3 linked regions of the Saccharomyces cerevisiae S288C genome follow. The protein of the gene in region 2 interacts with the protein of the main gene of each other region in a biochemical or structural test. Each region holds a gene or a part of one and is shown on either strand. Other genes may lie near its edges.

Region 1 (6,730 bases), on a different chromosome or scaffold from region 2:
ACCATTTATGGCCTTCATTCACTGATGAACAATGGATCACTATCGAATCTCAAATGAGAGATTTGATTTTGACTGAGTACGGCAGAAAATACAATGTCAATATATCTGCCTTAACTCAAACGGAAATTAAAGATATTATATTGGGTCAAAATATCAAGGCACCATCTGTGAAGAGACAAAAAATGGCTGAATTAGAAGCTGCCAGGTCAGAAAAGCAGAACGACGAAGAAGCTGCAGGTGCATCAACTGTTATGAAAACTAAAACTATCAATGCGCAAGGTGAGGAGATAGTTGTAGTAGCTTCCGCTGATTACGAAAGTCAAACGTTTAGTTCAAAGAATGAATGGAGAAAATCTGCAATTGCTAATACACTATTATATTTGAGGTTAAAAAACATTTATGTTTCGGCTGATGATTTCGTGGAGGAACAGAATGTTTACGTCCTTCCAAAAAATTTATTAAAGAAGTTTATTGAGATATCCGATGTGAAAATCCAGGTGGCGGCCTTTATTTATGGTATGTCAGCAAAAGATCATCCGAAGGTGAAAGAAATCAAGACTGTTGTGCTGGTACCTCAATTAGGCCACGTAGGATCCGTTCAGATAAGCAACATCCCTGACATCGGAGACCTTCCGGATACTGAAGGCCTTGAACTACTCGGTTGGATCCATACCCAGACAGAAGAACTTAAATTCATGGCTGCGTCTGAAGTAGCAACTCATTCTAAACTTTTTGCGGATAAGAAAAGAGACTGCATTGATATTTCAATTTTTTCCACCCCGGGATCAGTATCATTAAGCGCTTATAACCTGACCGACGAAGGTTACCAATGGGGTGAAGAAAATAAGGATATAATGAACGTGCTATCGGAAGGGTTTGAGCCTACTTTCAGCACGCATGCCCAATTACTTCTCTCTGACCGTATCACAGGTAATTTTATAATTCCATCTGGAAACGTTTGGAACTACACATTTATGGGAACAGCATTTAACCAAGAAGGTGACTACAATTTTAAATACGGCATTCCTTTGGAATTCTATAATGAGATGCATCGTCCAGTACACTTTTTACAGTTTAGCGAATTGGCGGGGGACGAAGAGTTAGAGGCCGAACAAATCGATGTATTTAGCTGAATATATTCCCCAATAAACTGGAATCTGTTATTTCATAGATATATATGTAAGTATAAGTTTGTATGTATAATATTCAACGCATTTTTTATGCCCGTCGTAGTTGCTACCTACCACACGATGATGTATTATAATTTCGGAACTACTTCAAAGCTACGCTTTCCGCACTATGAAAAGCTATAAGTATGTGAAAATTGGTCATTGACTGTGATTCTATTTCAAAAAGTAACCAAAGGAGATAGACATCGTTCGGACAGAAAATGGTCCGTTGTCACTCCCATTCCATTATGTCCTTCATATAGAAATTGGATATTCTTGTTTTCATTTCGCGCAATAAAGCAATTCCGTGCGGCAGAAAGAACTTATATATATTTAACTGATCTTACGCTATTTATGGCAAAACTTGTGTTACATTTTTGAAGATAAAGTTACAATCATTACGGCAGCCTCAAAACAAAATTGGGAGAAAACATACTCAAGTGAGTACTCATTTTGTGCAAGCAAACACTGACAATTGAAGAGATCGTCAGGATGCCCGGAACGCCACAGAAGAACAAGAGGTCTGCGAGTATATCTGTTTCACCTGCGAAGAAGACAGAGGAAAAAGAAATAATACAAAATGATTCAAAGGCGATATTATCTAAGCAAACTAAGAGGAAAAAAAAGTATGCTTTTGCTCCTATAAATAACTTAAATGGGAAGAACACCAAGGTATCCAATGCAAGTGTCCTAAAGTCAATAGCCGTTTCACAAGTACGAAATACATCAAGAACAAAAGATATAAACAAAGCAGTTAGCAAGAGCGTAAAGCAATTACCAAATTCACAAGTTAAACCGAAACGGGAAATGTCTAATTTGAGTAGGCATCACGATTTCACTCAAGACGAGGACGGCCCCATGGAAGAAGTAATATGGAAATATTCACCTTTACAACGAGATATGTCCGACAAAACAACAAGCGCTGCCGAATACTCTGATGACTACGAAGATGTCCAAAATCCCTCTTCTACACCTATAGTCCCTAATCGACTGAAAACTGTTCTTAGTTTCACAAATATCCAAGTACCCAACGCTGACGTAAATCAACTCATTCAAGAAAATGGAAATGAGCAAGTGCGTCCTAAACCAGCAGAAATATCTACCAGGGAGTCTCTCCGTAATATAGATGATATTCTCGATGATATAGAGGGCGATTTAACTATAAAACCGACGATAACGAAATTCAGCGATTTGCCATCTTCACCCATCAAGGCACCCAACGTTGAAAAAAAAGCAGAGGTGAATGCAGAAGAAGTAGATAAAATGGATTCAACAGGAGATAGCAACGATGGCGATGACTCTTTGATAGATATTTTAACTCAAAAGTATGTTGAGAAACGCAAGAGTGAGAGTCAGATAACAATTCAAGGCAACACCAATCAAAAAAGTGGAGCCCAGGAAAGTTGTGGGAAGAATGATAACACAAAATCGAGAGGAGAAATTGAAGATCATGAAAATGTAGACAATCAAGCCAAAACAGGCAATGCATTTTATGAGAATGAAGAAGACAGTAATTGCCAAAGAATTAAAAAAAATGAAAAAATAGAATACAATTCTTCAGACGAATTTTCAGACGATTCACTAATTGAACTATTGAACGAAACTCAAACACAAGTGGAACCTAACACTATTGAACAAGATTTAGACAAAGTGGAGAAAATGGTCTCTGACGATTTGAGAATTGCTACTGATTCCACTTTATCCGCATATGCTCTCAGAGCTAAGTCTGGTGCTCCAAGAGACGGCGTAGTACGATTAGTAATAGTAAGCTTACGTAGTGTTGAATTGCCAAAAATTGGAACGCAAAAAATACTAGAGTGTATAGACGGCAAAGGCGAACAAAGTTCTGTTGTCGTTCGACATCCTTGGGTATATTTGGAATTTGAGGTTGGGGATGTAATACATATTATAGAAGGGAAAAATATTGAAAACAAACGGCTTCTTTCTGACGACAAAAACCCTAAAACTCAACTGGCTAACGACAACCTGTTGGTGCTAAACCCTGATGTATTATTTTCGGCAACATCAGTCGGAAGTTCAGTAGGTTGTTTAAGACGTTCAATTCTGCAAATGCAATTTCAAGATCCCCGCGGAGAACCAAGCCTTGTCATGACTTTAGGCAATATCGTACACGAGTTATTGCAAGACTCAATCAAATACAAGCTCTCGCATAATAAAATTTCTATGGAAATCATAATACAAAAGCTGGATTCTTTGTTAGAAACTTATTCTTTTTCAATTATCATTTGTAATGAAGAAATCCAGTACGTTAAAGAATTAGTTATGAAAGAACATGCTGAAAACATTTTGTACTTCGTCAATAAATTTGTTTCGAAAAGTAACTATGGTTGCTACACATCAATTTCCGGAACAAGAAGAACACAGCCAATTTCTATATCCAATGTGATTGATATTGAAGAAAACATTTGGTCTCCAATATATGGTCTTAAAGGGTTCCTAGATGCAACTGTTGAAGCTAATGTTGAAAACAATAAAAAACACATCGTTCCTTTAGAAGTGAAAACTGGAAAATCCAGAAGCGTTTCATACGAGGTTCAAGGCCTTATTTATACACTTCTGTTAAATGATCGCTATGAGATACCGATAGAGTTTTTTCTTCTTTATTTTACGAGGGATAAAAATATGACAAAGTTCCCTTCTGTTCTGCACTCCATTAAACATATTCTCATGTCCCGAAATAGAATGAGTATGAATTTTAAGCATCAACTCCAAGAGGTTTTCGGACAGGCTCAATCAAGGTTTGAATTACCACCCTTACTGCGCGATTCATCTTGTGATTCATGTTTCATCAAAGAATCATGCATGGTGTTGAATAAGCTACTAGAGGACGGGACACCAGAAGAAAGTGGCCTGGTAGAAGGTGAGTTTGAAATTTTGACAAACCATTTGTCGCAAAATCTCGCCAACTACAAAGAGTTTTTTACAAAATATAATGATCTAATAACTAAGGAGGAGTCAAGTATAACATGTGTAAATAAAGAACTTTTCTTATTGGATGGTTCCACAAGAGAATCCAGAAGTGGAAGGTGCCTTTCTGGCTTGGTTGTGTCAGAGGTGGTTGAACATGAAAAAACAGAGGGAGCGTATATATATTGCTTCTCAAGACGTAGAAATGATAATAACTCGCAGTCGATGTTATCATCTCAAATTGCTGCTAATGACTTTGTTATTATTAGTGATGAGGAGGGTCATTTTTGCTTGTGCCAAGGTCGTGTACAATTTATAAATCCCGCTAAAATTGGTATCTCCGTAAAACGAAAGTTATTAAACAATAGGCTTCTAGATAAGGAAAAAGGAGTCACTACCATCCAAAGTGTGGTCGAATCAGAGCTAGAACAATCCAGTCTCATAGCTACCCAAAATTTGGTCACATATAGAATCGACAAAAATGATATCCAACAGAGTTTGTCTTTAGCGCGATTTAATCTTTTAAGCTTGTTTTTACCAGCTGTTTCACCTGGCGTGGATATTGTTGACGAAAGGAGTAAATTATGTCGGAAGACAAAGAGATCTGATGGAGGTAATGAAATACTGCGATCACTTTTAGTTGATAATAGAGCACCTAAGTTTAGAGATGCAAATGATGATCCCGTCATTCCGTATAAGCTTTCAAAGGATACAACATTGAACTTGAATCAAAAAGAAGCAATAGACAAAGTAATGAGGGCCGAAGATTATGCATTGATATTGGGAATGCCAGGGACTGGTAAGACTACTGTTATCGCAGAAATTATTAAAATTCTCGTTTCCGAGGGGAAACGCGTGCTTTTGACATCATACACACATTCAGCAGTGGATAATATTTTAATAAAATTGAGGAACACCAACATTAGCATAATGAGATTGGGAATGAAACATAAGGTCCATCCTGACACGCAAAAATATGTCCCGAATTACGCGTCAGTGAAAAGTTATAACGATTATTTGTCCAAAATTAACAGCACCTCTGTTGTTGCTACCACCTGCTTAGGAATTAACGATATACTATTTACACTAAATGAAAAGGATTTTGATTATGTGATTTTGGACGAGGCAAGTCAAATTTCAATGCCTGTCGCTTTGGGACCTCTGCGGTATGGAAATAGGTTTATTATGGTAGGAGATCATTACCAGCTACCGCCATTAGTTAAAAATGACGCAGCTCGATTAGGTGGGTTAGAAGAGTCACTGTTCAAGACTTTCTGTGAAAAGCATCCGGAAAGCGTTGCAGAACTGACTTTACAGTACCGTATGTGCGGCGATATTGTAACTTTGTCTAATTTCCTAATTTATGATAATAAATTAAAATGCGGGAATAACGAAGTTTTTGCTCAATCTTTAGAGTTACCAATGCCTGAGGCCTTGTCGCGCTATAGGAATGAATCGGCTAACTCTAAGCAGTGGCTTGAGGATATACTAGAGCCTACAAGAAAAGTGGTATTTTTAAATTACGATAACTGCCCGGATATTATCGAACAAAGCGAAAAGGATAACATTACGAATCACGGGGAGGCAGAATTGACTCTACAATGTGTGGAAGGAATGTTATTGAGCGGCGTACCATGCGAAGATATTGGTGTAATGACGTTATACAGAGCACAGTTAAGATTACTGAAGAAGATATTCAACAAAAATGTGTATGACGGGCTAGAGATCTTGACTGCTGATCAGTTTCAAGGTCGTGACAAAAAGTGCATTATTATTTCCATGGTTAGAAGAAATTCTCAATTAAATGGAGGAGCGCTGCTGAAAGAGCTAAGAAGAGTCAATGTTGCCATGACAAGGGCCAAATCCAAGCTGATCATTATAGGTTCAAAAAGTACAATCGGCTCTGTTCCTGAAATAAAATCGTTCGTGAACCTGTTAGAAGAGCGTAATTGGGTCTATACAATGTGCAAGGATGCACTCTACAAATACAAATTTCCCGACAGATCAAACGCTATTGATGAGGCACGCAAAGGTTGTGGAAAAAGAACAGGTGCCAAACCCATCACATCAAAGTCTAAATTCGTAAGCGATAAACCTATCATAAAGGAAATTCTACAAGAGTATGAAAGTTGACAGGGGGAATAAGAAGAGCTTCTCCATAACAGGAAAGCTATCACAGCATAAAATATCTATGTCATTTTATAAAGTTTGGTATATATAACACGTAATATTAGCATCTGAGGTTCGAAAGCTCGCATGTGTGTCTTTTCTAAAAAGTTTTCGTTTGAACTTTTCCAAAAGCTTCCTCATTAACGAACCAGGATGTTTTTTCACCAAATAATTTGTTAACCAATGCGGTTGGCAATTGATCGTTTTTCAAGTCAAAGATCTCATGCATTATATTTTGTTTGGAACTGCCCTCAGCCACAAAACACAGGGCTTTGGCGTCTTTCAACACAGGCAGAGTGAAGGTGATTCTGTCACTTGGAGGCTTGGGAGAATCGTGGCACCAAGCAACTCTTTTGGTTGTTTCGTTCAGCAAGTACCTATGTGTTTCTCCAGGGAATAAGGAACAAGTGTGTCCATCAGGACCACAGCCCAACAGTACCAAATCAAGCACTTGAGGTACGATA
Region 2 (8,309 bases):
TAGGCCAGAAACTTACTGAATCTACAGTAAATCATACTAATCATTCTGATGATGAACTCCCTGGACACCTCCTTCTCGATTCAGGAGCATCACGAACCCTTATAAGATCTGCTCATCACATACACTCAGCATCATCTAATCCTGACATAAACGTAGTTGATGCTCAAAAAAGAAATATACCAATTAACGCTATTGGTGACCTACAATTTCACTTCCAGGACAACACCAAAACATCAATAAAGGTATTGCACACTCCTAACATAGCCTATGACTTACTCAGTTTGAATGAATTGGCTGCAGTAGATATCACAGCATGCTTTACCAAAAACGTCTTAGAACGGTCTGACGGCACTGTACTTGCACCTATCGTAAAATATGGAGACTTTTACTGGGTATCTAAAAAGTACTTGCTTCCATCAAATATCTCCGTACCCACCATCAATAATGTCCATACAAGTGAAAGTACACGCAAATATCCTTATCCTTTCATTCATCGAATGCTTGCGCATGCCAATGCACAGACAAATTCGATACTCACTTAAAAATAACACCATCACGTATTTTAACGAATCAGATGTCGACTGGTCTAGTGCTATTGACTATCAATGTCCTGATTGTTTAATCGGCAAAAGCACCAAACACAGACATATCAAAGGTTCACGACTAAAATACCAAAATTCATACGAACCCTTTCAATACCTACATACTGACATATTTGGTCCAGTTCACAACCTACCAAAAAGTGCACCATCCTATTTCATCTCATTTACTGATGAGACAACAAAATTGCGTTGGGTTTATCCATTACACGACCGTCGCGAGGACTCTATCCTCGATGTTTTTACTACGATACTAGCTTTTATTAAAAACCAGTTTCAGGCCAGTGTCTTGGTTATACAAATGGACCGTGGTTCTGAGTATACTAACAGAACTCTCCATAAATTCCTTGAAAAAAATGGTATAACTCCATGCTATACAACCACAGCGGATTCCCGAGCACATGGAGTCGCTGAACGGCTAAACCGTACCTTATTAGATGACTGCCGTACTCAACTGCAATGTAGTGGTTTACCGAACCATTTATGGTTCTCTGCAATCGAATTTTCTACTATTGTGAGAAATTCACTAGCTTCACCTAAAAGCAAAAAATCTGCAAGACAACATGCTGGCTTGGCAGGACTTGATATCAGTACTTTGTTACCTTTCGGTCAACCTGTTATCGTCAATGATCACAACCCTAACTCCAAAATACATCCTCGTGGCATCCCAGGCTACGCTCTACATCCGTCTCGAAACTCTTATGGATATATCATCTATCTTCCATCCTTAAAGAAGACAGTAGATACAACTAACTATGTTATTCTTCAGGGCAAGGAATCCAGATTAGATCAATTCAATTACGACGCACTCACTTTCGATGAAGACTTAAACCGTTTAACTGCTTCATATCATTCGTTCATTGCGTCAAATGAGATCCAAGAATCCAATGATCTTAACATAGAATCTGACCATGACTTCCAATCCGACATTGAACTACATCCTGAGCAACCGAGAAATGTCCTTTCAAAAGCTGTGAGTCCAACCGATTCCACACCTCCGTCAACTCATACTGAAGATTCGAAACGTGTTTCTAAAACCAATATTCGCGCACCCAGAGAAGTTGACCCCAACATATCTGAATCTAATATTCTTCCATCAAAGAAGAGATCTAGCACCCCCCAAATTTCCAATATCGAGAGTACCGGTTCGGGTGGTATGCATAAATTAAATGTTCCTTTACTTGCTCCCATGTCCCAATCTAACACACATGAGTCGTCGCACGCCAGTAAATCTAAAGATTTCAGACACTCAGACTCGTACAGTGAAAATGAGACTAATCATACAAACGTACCAATATCCAGTACGGGTGGTACCAACAACAAAACTGTTCCGCAGATAAGTGACCAAGAGACTGAGAAAAGGATTATACACCGTTCACCTTCAATCGATGCTTCTCCACCGGAAAATAATTCATCGCACAATATTGTTCCTATCAAAACGCCAACTACTGTTTCTGAACAGAATACCGAGGAATCTATCATCGCTGATCTCCCACTCCCTGATCTACCTCCAGAATCTCCTACCGAATTCCCTGACCCATTTAAAGAACTCCCACCGATAAATTCTCATCAAACTAATTCCAGTTTGGGTGGTATTGGTGACTCTAATGCCTATACTACTATCAACAGTAAGAAAAGATCATTAGAAGATAATGAAACTGAAATTAAGGTATCACGAGACACATGGAATACTAAGAATATGCGTAGTTTAGAACCTCCGAGATCGAAGAAACGAATTCACCTGATTGCAGCTGTAAAAGCAGTAAAATCAATCAAACCAATACGGACAACCTTACGATACGATGAGGCAATCACCTATAATAAAGATATTAAAGAAAAAGAAAAATATATCGAGGCATACCACAAAGAAGTCAACCAACTATTGAAAATGAATACTTGGGACACTGACAAATATTATGACAGAAAAGAAATAGACCCTAAAAGAGTAATAAACTCAATGTTTATCTTCAACAAGAAACGTGACGGAACTCATAAAGCTAGATTTGTTGCAAGAGGTGACATTCAGCATCCTGATACGTACGATACAGGTATGCAATCCAACACTGTACATCATTATGCGTTGATGACATCCCTGTCACTTGCATTAGACAATAACTACTATATTACACAATTAGACATATCTTCGGCATATTTGTATGCAGACATCAAAGAAGAATTATACATAAGACCTCCACCACATTTAGGAATGAATGATAAGTTGATACGTTTGAAGAAATCACTTTATGGATTGAAACAAAGTGGAGCGAACTGGTACGAAACTATCAAATCATACCTGATAAAACAGTGTGGTATGGAAGAAGTTCGTGGATGGTCATGCGTATTTAAGAATAGTCAAGTAACAATTTGCTTATTCGTTGATGATATGATATTGTTCAGCAAAGACTTAAATGCAAATAAGAAAATCATAACAACACTCAAGAAACAATACGATACAAAGATAATAAATCTGGGTGAAAGTGATAACGAAATTCAGTACGACATACTTGGCTTAGAAATCAAATATCAAAGAGGTAAATACATGAAATTAGGTATGGAAAAATCCTTGACAGAAAAATTACCCAAACTAAACGTACCTTTGAACCCAAAAGGAAAGAAACTTAGAGCTCCAGGTCAACCAGGTCTTTATATAGACCAGGATGAACTAGAAATAGATGAAGATGAATACAAAGAGAAGGTACATGAAATGCAAAAGTTGATTGGTCTAGCTTCATATGTTGGATATAAATTTAGATTTGACTTACTATACTACATCAACACACTTGCTCAACATATACTATTCCCCTCTAGGCAAGTTTTAGACATGACATATGAGTTGATACAATTCATGTGGGACACTAGAGATAAACAACTGATATGGCACAAAAACAAACCTACCGAGCCAGATAATAAACTAGTCGCAATAAGTGATGCTTCGTATGGCAACCAACCGTATTATAAATCACAAATTGGCAACATATATTTACTTAATGGAAAGGTAATTGGAGGAAAGTCCACCAAGGCTTCATTAACATGTACTTCAACTACGGAAGCAGAAATACACGCGATAAGTGAATCTGTCCCATTATTAAATAATCTAAGTTACCTGATACAAGAACTTAACAAGAAACCAATTATTAAAGGCTTACTTACTGATAGTAGATCAACGATCAGTATAATTAAGTCTACAAATGAAGAGAAATTTAGAAACAGATTTTTTGGCACAAAGGCAATGAGACTTAGAGATGAAGTATCAGGTAATAATTTATACGTATACTACATCGAGACCAAGAAGAACATTGCTGATGTGATGACAAAACCTCTTCCGATAAAAACATTTAAACTATTAACTAACAAATGGATTCATTAGATCTATTACATTATGGGTGGTATGTTGGAATAGAAATCAACTATCATCTACTAACTAGTATTTACATTACTAGTATATTATCATATACGGTGTTAGAAGATGACGCAAATGATGAGAAATAGTCATCTAAATTAGTGGAAGCTGAAACGCAAGGATTGATAATGTAATAGGATCAATGAATATAAACATATAAAACGGAATGAGGAATAATCGTAATATTAGTATGTAGAAATATAGATTCCATTTTGAGGATTCCTATATCCTCGAGGAGAACTTCTAGTATATTCTGTATACCTAATATTATAGCCTTTATCAACAATGGAATCCCAACAATTATCTCAACATTCACCCATTTCTCAGAACCAACTATCTTCGATCAATTTGTATTAAAACTGCTAGCATATTATCATATATGATGTAAAAAGACGACATAAAGGTCGAGTAACAATCATCCGATATAACGGAAGCTGAAATCCGAGGATCGATAATATAGCATAATTACTTGTATGAACGATGCTAAAATATTTGTTCCTTCACATCTACACGTGGAAGTAAATGAACTGGATGTCAACAGTTTAGAAGAGCTTTTTTTTCGGTTCTGGTAAACATTCAATAAACTGTTTTGCTCCCACTAAATATAAATAAACATAATTATATGTCTAGTGATAAACAACTACTTTCCCGCTGAATGCATCAAAATATCAATGCAAATTTAAAAATTGTATTACACATATGTATGCTTCTGAAAAACCTTATAAATACATAAATTCTGAGAAAATAATTATACATGACTGATTCCCAGCTTAACCAAATCCAGCCCATTCTATTGAGAAGAAATGAGTTTCCTTTGTCTCTTCCGCAACACCGCCTATGACCCAAAGTTTTTTCACAGTCGTTCCTAGTCTTGCACCACTTATCATGGATATTAGGTCAATCGGCTCATTATGATAATCAATCGCATCTTGTATCGTCAGATGTGAATGGAAACGAAGAGGATCACCAGGGTATGCTATAAACTTCCCACCAAAACGTCCACCTGGGGACAAAACGTACCCTTGATCTCTCAATGCCTTGTATAAGAAATAGGTCTGCATTTTTCCTGCCTGTCTGTACTGCTTAAATAACAAATCACTGATATCATCGCGGGATAAGCTGTCTGAATCACTCCGTATGTCTCTTAAAATCATAGAGGTATTAGCAATGTCAATGAACAAAGAAGATTCAATTAGCTGGTCATTATTGCTAGATTTATCAAGCCGTTGCAATTCTTCAGCTGTGGTTTTATCATTGATTCTACCGATTTTCTTTAATTTTGCAATGTGTTCATCCTTTTTGAACTTTCTCTGATATTCAAATGACTTGTTCAAACGATCGTTGACAATTTTAGATAGTTTGGCGCCCCGCTCTAATGTTATTCCCTCCATAATCTCATCTCCCTCTTGTCTTATTAATTTCACATCGGCAAGATTGTTCAAATGCAGCCACAGCACATCTTCTAACATAAGCCTCAAAGGTACCGACAAAAATACATTTTGCTGTGCTGCAGTAGGCAAAGTTCCAGATAACACACCACAAATACCCCATTTCCTTAGAAGTTTGATGTGATCTATGTCAAATACTAGCGGTGGCATAAAAACCTCCTCGCCTTTTGCCGTTCTTTTTGCATATATGTTAATAGCTATGCGCGTACCACCTTCTTCAGCCATATACGAAAGGATCTATGCTAATTGGGTGGATTTCTTATCGCATCACTTTCTTATTCTCTAACTCTTCTTCGCTGCTCAATAAAATATCTCTGCTTGGAAAAATGTCACGCGTAAAAATTAGACGAGGCGACAAAAGACGCGTGAACTAACATAAAGGTTTACTTGAACAAATGTTATCACTTTAAGTTCTACACGTAAAACAAAAACTATTCACTCTTCTTATTACGGTAAAGGCGAAACCAGCAAGAAGACCAGATTATACTTACAAGAGATGAGCAGTGTTCAACTTTCGAGGGGCGATTTTCATAGCATCTTCACCAATAAGCAAAGGTACGATAATCCCACCGGTGGCGTTTATCAAGTTTATAACACCAGGAAATCTGATGGGGCTAACAGCAACAGAAAGAATTTGATCATGATTTCCGATGGTATTTACCATATGAAGGCTCTGTTGAGAAACCAAGCTGCATCCAAGTTCCAGTCAATGGAACTACAAAGGGGTGATATCATTCGCGTGATAATTGCAGAACCTGCTATTGTCAGGGAAAGAAAGAAATACGTTCTTTTAGTAGATGACTTTGAGTTGGTCCAGTCGCGTGCTGATATGGTCAACCAAACTAGTACTTTTTTGGATAACTATTTCTCAGAGCATCCAAATGAAACCTTAAAAGACGAAGATATAACTGACAGTGGTAATGTTGCCAATCAAACAAACGCCAGCAATGCTGGTGTCCCTGATATGCTGCATTCAAACTCAAACTTGAATGCAAATGAGAGAAAATTCGCCAATGAAAACCCTAATTCGCAAAAAACCAGACCAATTTTTGCCATCGAACAACTGTCTCCATACCAAAACGTTTGGACTATCAAAGCAAGAGTTTCCTACAAGGGAGAAATTAAAACGTGGCACAATCAAAGAGGTGATGGTAAACTATTCAATGTCAACTTCTTGGATACCTCTGGAGAAATCCGAGCCACGGCGTTTAATGATTTTGCTACAAAATTTAACGAAATTTTACAAGAAGGCAAAGTATACTATGTATCAAAGGCAAAACTCCAACCAGCTAAGCCCCAATTTACTAATCTAACACACCCTTATGAACTGAATTTGGATAGAGACACTGTTATAGAAGAATGTTTCGATGAAAGTAATGTTCCGAAAACCCATTTCAATTTCATCAAACTAGATGCTATTCAGAACCAGGAAGTAAATTCCAACGTAGACGTCCTCGGTATTATCCAAACTATAAACCCACATTTTGAGCTAACTTCAAGGGCTGGGAAGAAATTCGATCGTCGTGACATCACAATTGTTGACGACTCTGGGTTTTCTATCTCTGTTGGCCTATGGAATCAGCAAGCCCTTGATTTCAACCTTCCTGAAGGTTCTGTTGCTGCCATTAAAGGTGTTCGTGTGACGGATTTTGGTGGCAAATCTTTGTCTATGGGATTTTCTAGTACCCTGATTCCGAATCCAGAAATTCCTGAGGCATATGCCTTAAAGGGTTGGTATGATTCCAAGGGCCGCAACGCAAACTTCATCACTTTAAAGCAAGAACCCGGTATGGGTGGTCAATCGGCTGCTAGCTTAACAAAATTCATTGCTCAGCGTATTACTATTGCTAGAGCTCAAGCTGAAAATCTAGGAAGAAGCGAGAAAGGTGACTTTTTTAGTGTTAAAGCTGCTATAAGTTTCTTAAAAGTTGATAATTTTGCATATCCTGCCTGTTCTAATGAGAATTGTAATAAGAAAGTTCTGGAACAGCCTGATGGTACTTGGAGATGTGAGAAGTGCGACACCAATAATGCAAGGCCAAATTGGAGATACATCTTGACAATATCAATTATTGACGAAACCAATCAACTATGGCTCACTTTATTTGACGACCAAGCTAAACAATTATTGGGTGTTGATGCTAATACATTAATGTCTTTGAAGGAAGAAGACCCCAACGAATTCACAAAAATTACTCAAAGTATCCAAATGAACGAATATGACTTTAGGATTAGAGCGCGTGAGGATACATACAATGATCAAAGCAGAATTAGATATACCGTTGCTAACCTACACAGCTTGAATTACAGGGCTGAAGCCGACTATCTTGCCGATGAGTTATCCAAGGCTTTGTTAGCTTAATGTATCAAATAATCAAGTACTATTTAATCTATGTAACATATGAGAAATGTAAAAAAAAAACTTCTATTTCGTCAAGTTTTTGAAGGGCGGTTCAGCATCTCTTGATGACTGGATATGAAACTACACGTTCAGTCATATGAATTTGAACCCATAATGCACAAATGAATAAAAATGCTAACAAATTCTAATTAATGGCATGGTACTAACACCCAACAATTTACCGCCCTTTAGGTGTACAGCTTCAAATAACAAAGCTTTACAAATTCACCTTCAACATTTACGTTCAGTAGTATGAAATTACCATCATGACGTGCTCCTATCAAAGTGAGATTATTGCACTTCGTATTATTAGGAAATTACCAAAAAATGCAAAATTTTTCAATTCTGTGTCAAAGAAATCGCGGTAGGCATGACTATACCTCTTCAGTGTCAGTTGCCTATTTAAACTTTCTCCTTTTGAAGAGAAACCTATGATGACTGCATCTTAATTATCCTCGTAT
Region 3 (2,958 bases), on a different chromosome or scaffold from region 2:
GCCAGAACAAATCAAAAAATTGGAGAAATATGATCCGAATACCGATCCCGTTCAAGATTATGTGAAGGATCGTCATCATGGCCTGAAATGAACGGAATTATTTGTATATTTTAGCAGTTTGATTGTGAAGTTTTCTTTAATACGTAGGCAAATTCTTACGTCATCCTTTATATAGTGAATGTAAACTGCTGTTTTACGGTACGCTAACCGTAGCGAACTGAGACTGTATATGGTAAACAGTTAGTTGATCGTATGGCAGAGAATCTAGTTATTCTGAATACGTTCCCTTCACTTGAGCAGCTCAAAATATACACACTTAAACGCGATAGAATATACATAGAAACGTAGAAACGACATCAGTCGCTTTCGCTTCCTGCCAGAAGGATTAATAGAAGGGGAAGAGCCAGCTCCGTAGTTAGCGCATGCGGAAAGATGCCCATACTCAACAGCTCAGTTAAATATGACAGGCTAGGGCTATTTCTGTAATAGCAATGATGCCATCACGTATGAGAGTTCGGATACGAGTTGTTCTCATAAACATTTTTATTAGCATTGTTCAAAAAGTGTTCTAATTCATTTTTATAAGTTTCCTGTTTTTCAATAAAGGCAAGCAACTCATCGTCTTCCAAATCCTCGTTGTTTTGCCATTCCATATATTCAGCCATGTCAGAGGGTAGAGCGTTCTTTTGTGCTTCCTGCTTTAGCCTTTGCATTTCTCTAAGGTGTTCACCTTGCATGATCATTTCTTCCATCTTTTCTAGGCCACCGCGTACTTTGGTCATTTTGTCTCGACGTCTAGTTAATCTCATGGACTCCAACCGTGATCTCTGATCCGCTCGTTGTCGTTCTGAAGGGGCAATAGGGGATGAAGAATGAGGCCCAAAAAAATCCTGTGAACGATCTCGTCTACTTGATATTATATCTGAAACCACAGAAGGGGAAGTGTCAATGTGCATAGTGCCACTTTGTTGTTTGTTCTCTTCTGATAGTCTACGTGTAGATGTTCTTAAAGATTGAGGTGTTAAACTCCGGTCAAAAGAAACACCTGTACGCTGTAGTTCTGCGGCCTTCTCTTCATTCCAATCGAAGCAACAGTCATCCGAATTTAAATTATGATTGCTGTACATTTCCGAGCTAAACTCTTTGACTGTATTTTGTTCCTTTTAATGGTCAATTAGTCGTGTTGTTTGGCGATGACTTTCTTATTGTCATTTCGGCTTTGTATATGAACGCGAAATCGCATCCCGGTTGAGGCACTTAATTAAACTCTGGCTTATGACGATGAGAACGTACAAATAGTAGTCATTTGCTAATTACTGATTGTGTATCTTATATATATACTTATAAAAAGTTGTTAAGAGGGAAAACTAAGAAATTCGATGCTGCTACTTCATCGCATCTTTGTATTTATCTAATCAACCTCTTCAACCGTTGGGCCGTTGTCTGGTGCTCCAGTGGGGCCTGCTCCAGCACCCGGAACTGGGCCTGCTCCTGGGGCACCACCTGCAGCTCCGTAAAATTTACTCATAATGGGGTTTGCAACACCTTCTAGTTCCTTTTGCCTTTCCTTGTATTCCTCGGTGGAGGCCGCTTGCGAAGCATCTAACCAATTTATAGCATCTTGGGCGGCGGCTTCCAATTTCCTGGCATCCTCTTCACCCACCTTCTCCTTGAAGTTATTTTCGCTCACAGAATTTTTCAAAGTAAACGCGTACGATTCTAGCTGATTCTTAGCTTGAACACGTTGAGCTTCTTGTTCATCTTCGGCCTTGAACTTTTCTGCCTCAGCAACCATTTTATCGATATCTTCCTTCGATAATCTTCCCTTATCGTTAGTAATTGTAATCTTGTTAGATTTACCAGTACCTTTTTCAACGGCAGATACGTTCAGAATACCATTTGCATCGATATCAAATGTAACTTCAATTTGTGGTACGCCTCTTGGAGCGGGTGGAATACCGCTCAACTCAAATTTACCCAGTAGATTGTTGTCTTTTGTCCTTGTCCTTTCACCCTCAAAAACTTGTATCAACACACCAGGTTGGTTGTCAGCGTAGGTGGAAAACACTTCCGATTTTTTTGTTGGGATAGTCGAATTTCTTGGGATCAACTTTGTCATAATACCACCTGCAGTTTCAATACCTAGAGATAATGGTGCAACATCCAGCAACAGTAAATCTTGGGTCGTCGACGACTGGTCACCCGTTAAGATGGCAGCCTGTACGGCAGCACCATAAGCGACGGCCTCATCAGGGTTAATCGAACGGTTTGGTTCTTTACCATTGAAAAAATCAGAAACCAGTTTTTGTACTTTTGGAATTCTTGTTGAACCACCAACAAGTACAATTTCATCAATTTGTGACTTATCTAATTTTGAATCAGCCAAAACTTTTTCCACTGGCTCCAATGTAGATCTAAACAAATCAGCACATAATTCTTCAAATCTTGCCCTTGTAATGGAAGTATAGAAATCGATACCCTCAAATAATGAATCTATTTCTATAGATGTCTGAGCAGACGAAGACAGAGTTCTCTTGGCCCTTTCAGCGGCGGTCCTTAACCTCCTTAGGGACCTTTGGTTAGTTGTTAGATCCTTTTTATTTTTTCTTTTGAACTCCTCGGCTAGAAAGTTAACCAGCCTACTATCGAAATCTTCACCACCCAAGTGAGTGTCACCAGCAGTAGCCTTAACCTCAAAGACACCTTCATCTATGGATAGCAGAGAGACATCAAAAGTACCACCACCTAAATCAAAGATCAAGACGTTGTGCTCCTTCTGCGATTTCTTGTCCAGCCCATACGCAATAGCGGCAGCTGTAGGTTCATTAATGATACGAAGAACGTTCAAGCCCGCGATTGTACCGGCATCTTTTGTTGCTTGCCTTTGTGAATCGTTGAAATAGGCTGGAACCGTTACTACAGCATCTTTCACTTCTGTTCCTAAAAAGTTCTCAGCAG

The links. Proteins that work in one complex are often made in the same cells at the same time.
Region 1: the proteins of RFA1 (region 2) and DNA2 form a complex in vitro, tested with the Saccharomyces cerevisiae proteins (3 studies listed by BioGRID, with this or other methods).
Region 3: the proteins of RFA1 (region 2) and RTT105 form a complex in vitro, tested with the Saccharomyces cerevisiae proteins (4 studies listed by BioGRID).

Annotation. Positions count from the first base shown.
Region 1 is NC_001140.6:424,110-430,839, reverse strand, and holds DNA2 (bifunctional ATP-dependent DNA helicase/ssDNA endodeoxyribonuclease DNA2), read left to right. Parts: upstream 1-1,661; coding exon 1,662-6,230; downstream 6,231-6,730. Other genes in the region: U4/U6-U5 snRNP complex subunit PRP8, read left to right, coding at 1-1,133; 6-phosphogluconolactonase SOL3, read right to left, coding at 6,367-6,730. UniProt on the Saccharomyces cerevisiae protein: Key enzyme involved in DNA replication and DNA repair.
Region 2 is NC_001133.9:156,254-164,562, reverse strand, and holds RFA1 (replication factor A subunit protein RFA1), read left to right. Parts: upstream 1-5,943; coding exon 5,944-7,809; downstream 7,810-8,309. Other genes in the region: YAR010C (gag protein), read left to right, coding at 1-19; YAR009C (truncated gag-pol fusion protein), read left to right, coding at 376-3,966; tRNA splicing endonuclease subunit SEN34, read right to left, coding at 4,770-5,597; COMPASS subunit protein SWD1, read right to left, coding at 8,278-8,309. UniProt on the Saccharomyces cerevisiae protein: As part of the replication protein A (RPA/RP-A), a single-stranded DNA-binding heterotrimeric complex, may play an essential role in DNA replication, recombination and repair.
Region 3 is NC_001137.3:364,971-367,928, reverse strand, and holds RTT105 (Rtt105p), read right to left. Parts: upstream 1,128-2,958; coding exon 501-1,127; downstream 1-500. Other genes in the region: NUP157 (Nup157p), read left to right, coding at 1-91; Hsp70 family chaperone SSA4, read right to left, coding at 1,412-2,958. UniProt on the Saccharomyces cerevisiae protein: Involved in regulation of Ty1 transposition. Inhibits Ty1 transposition at a post-transcriptional and pre-integrational stage of the Ty1 retrotransposition cycle.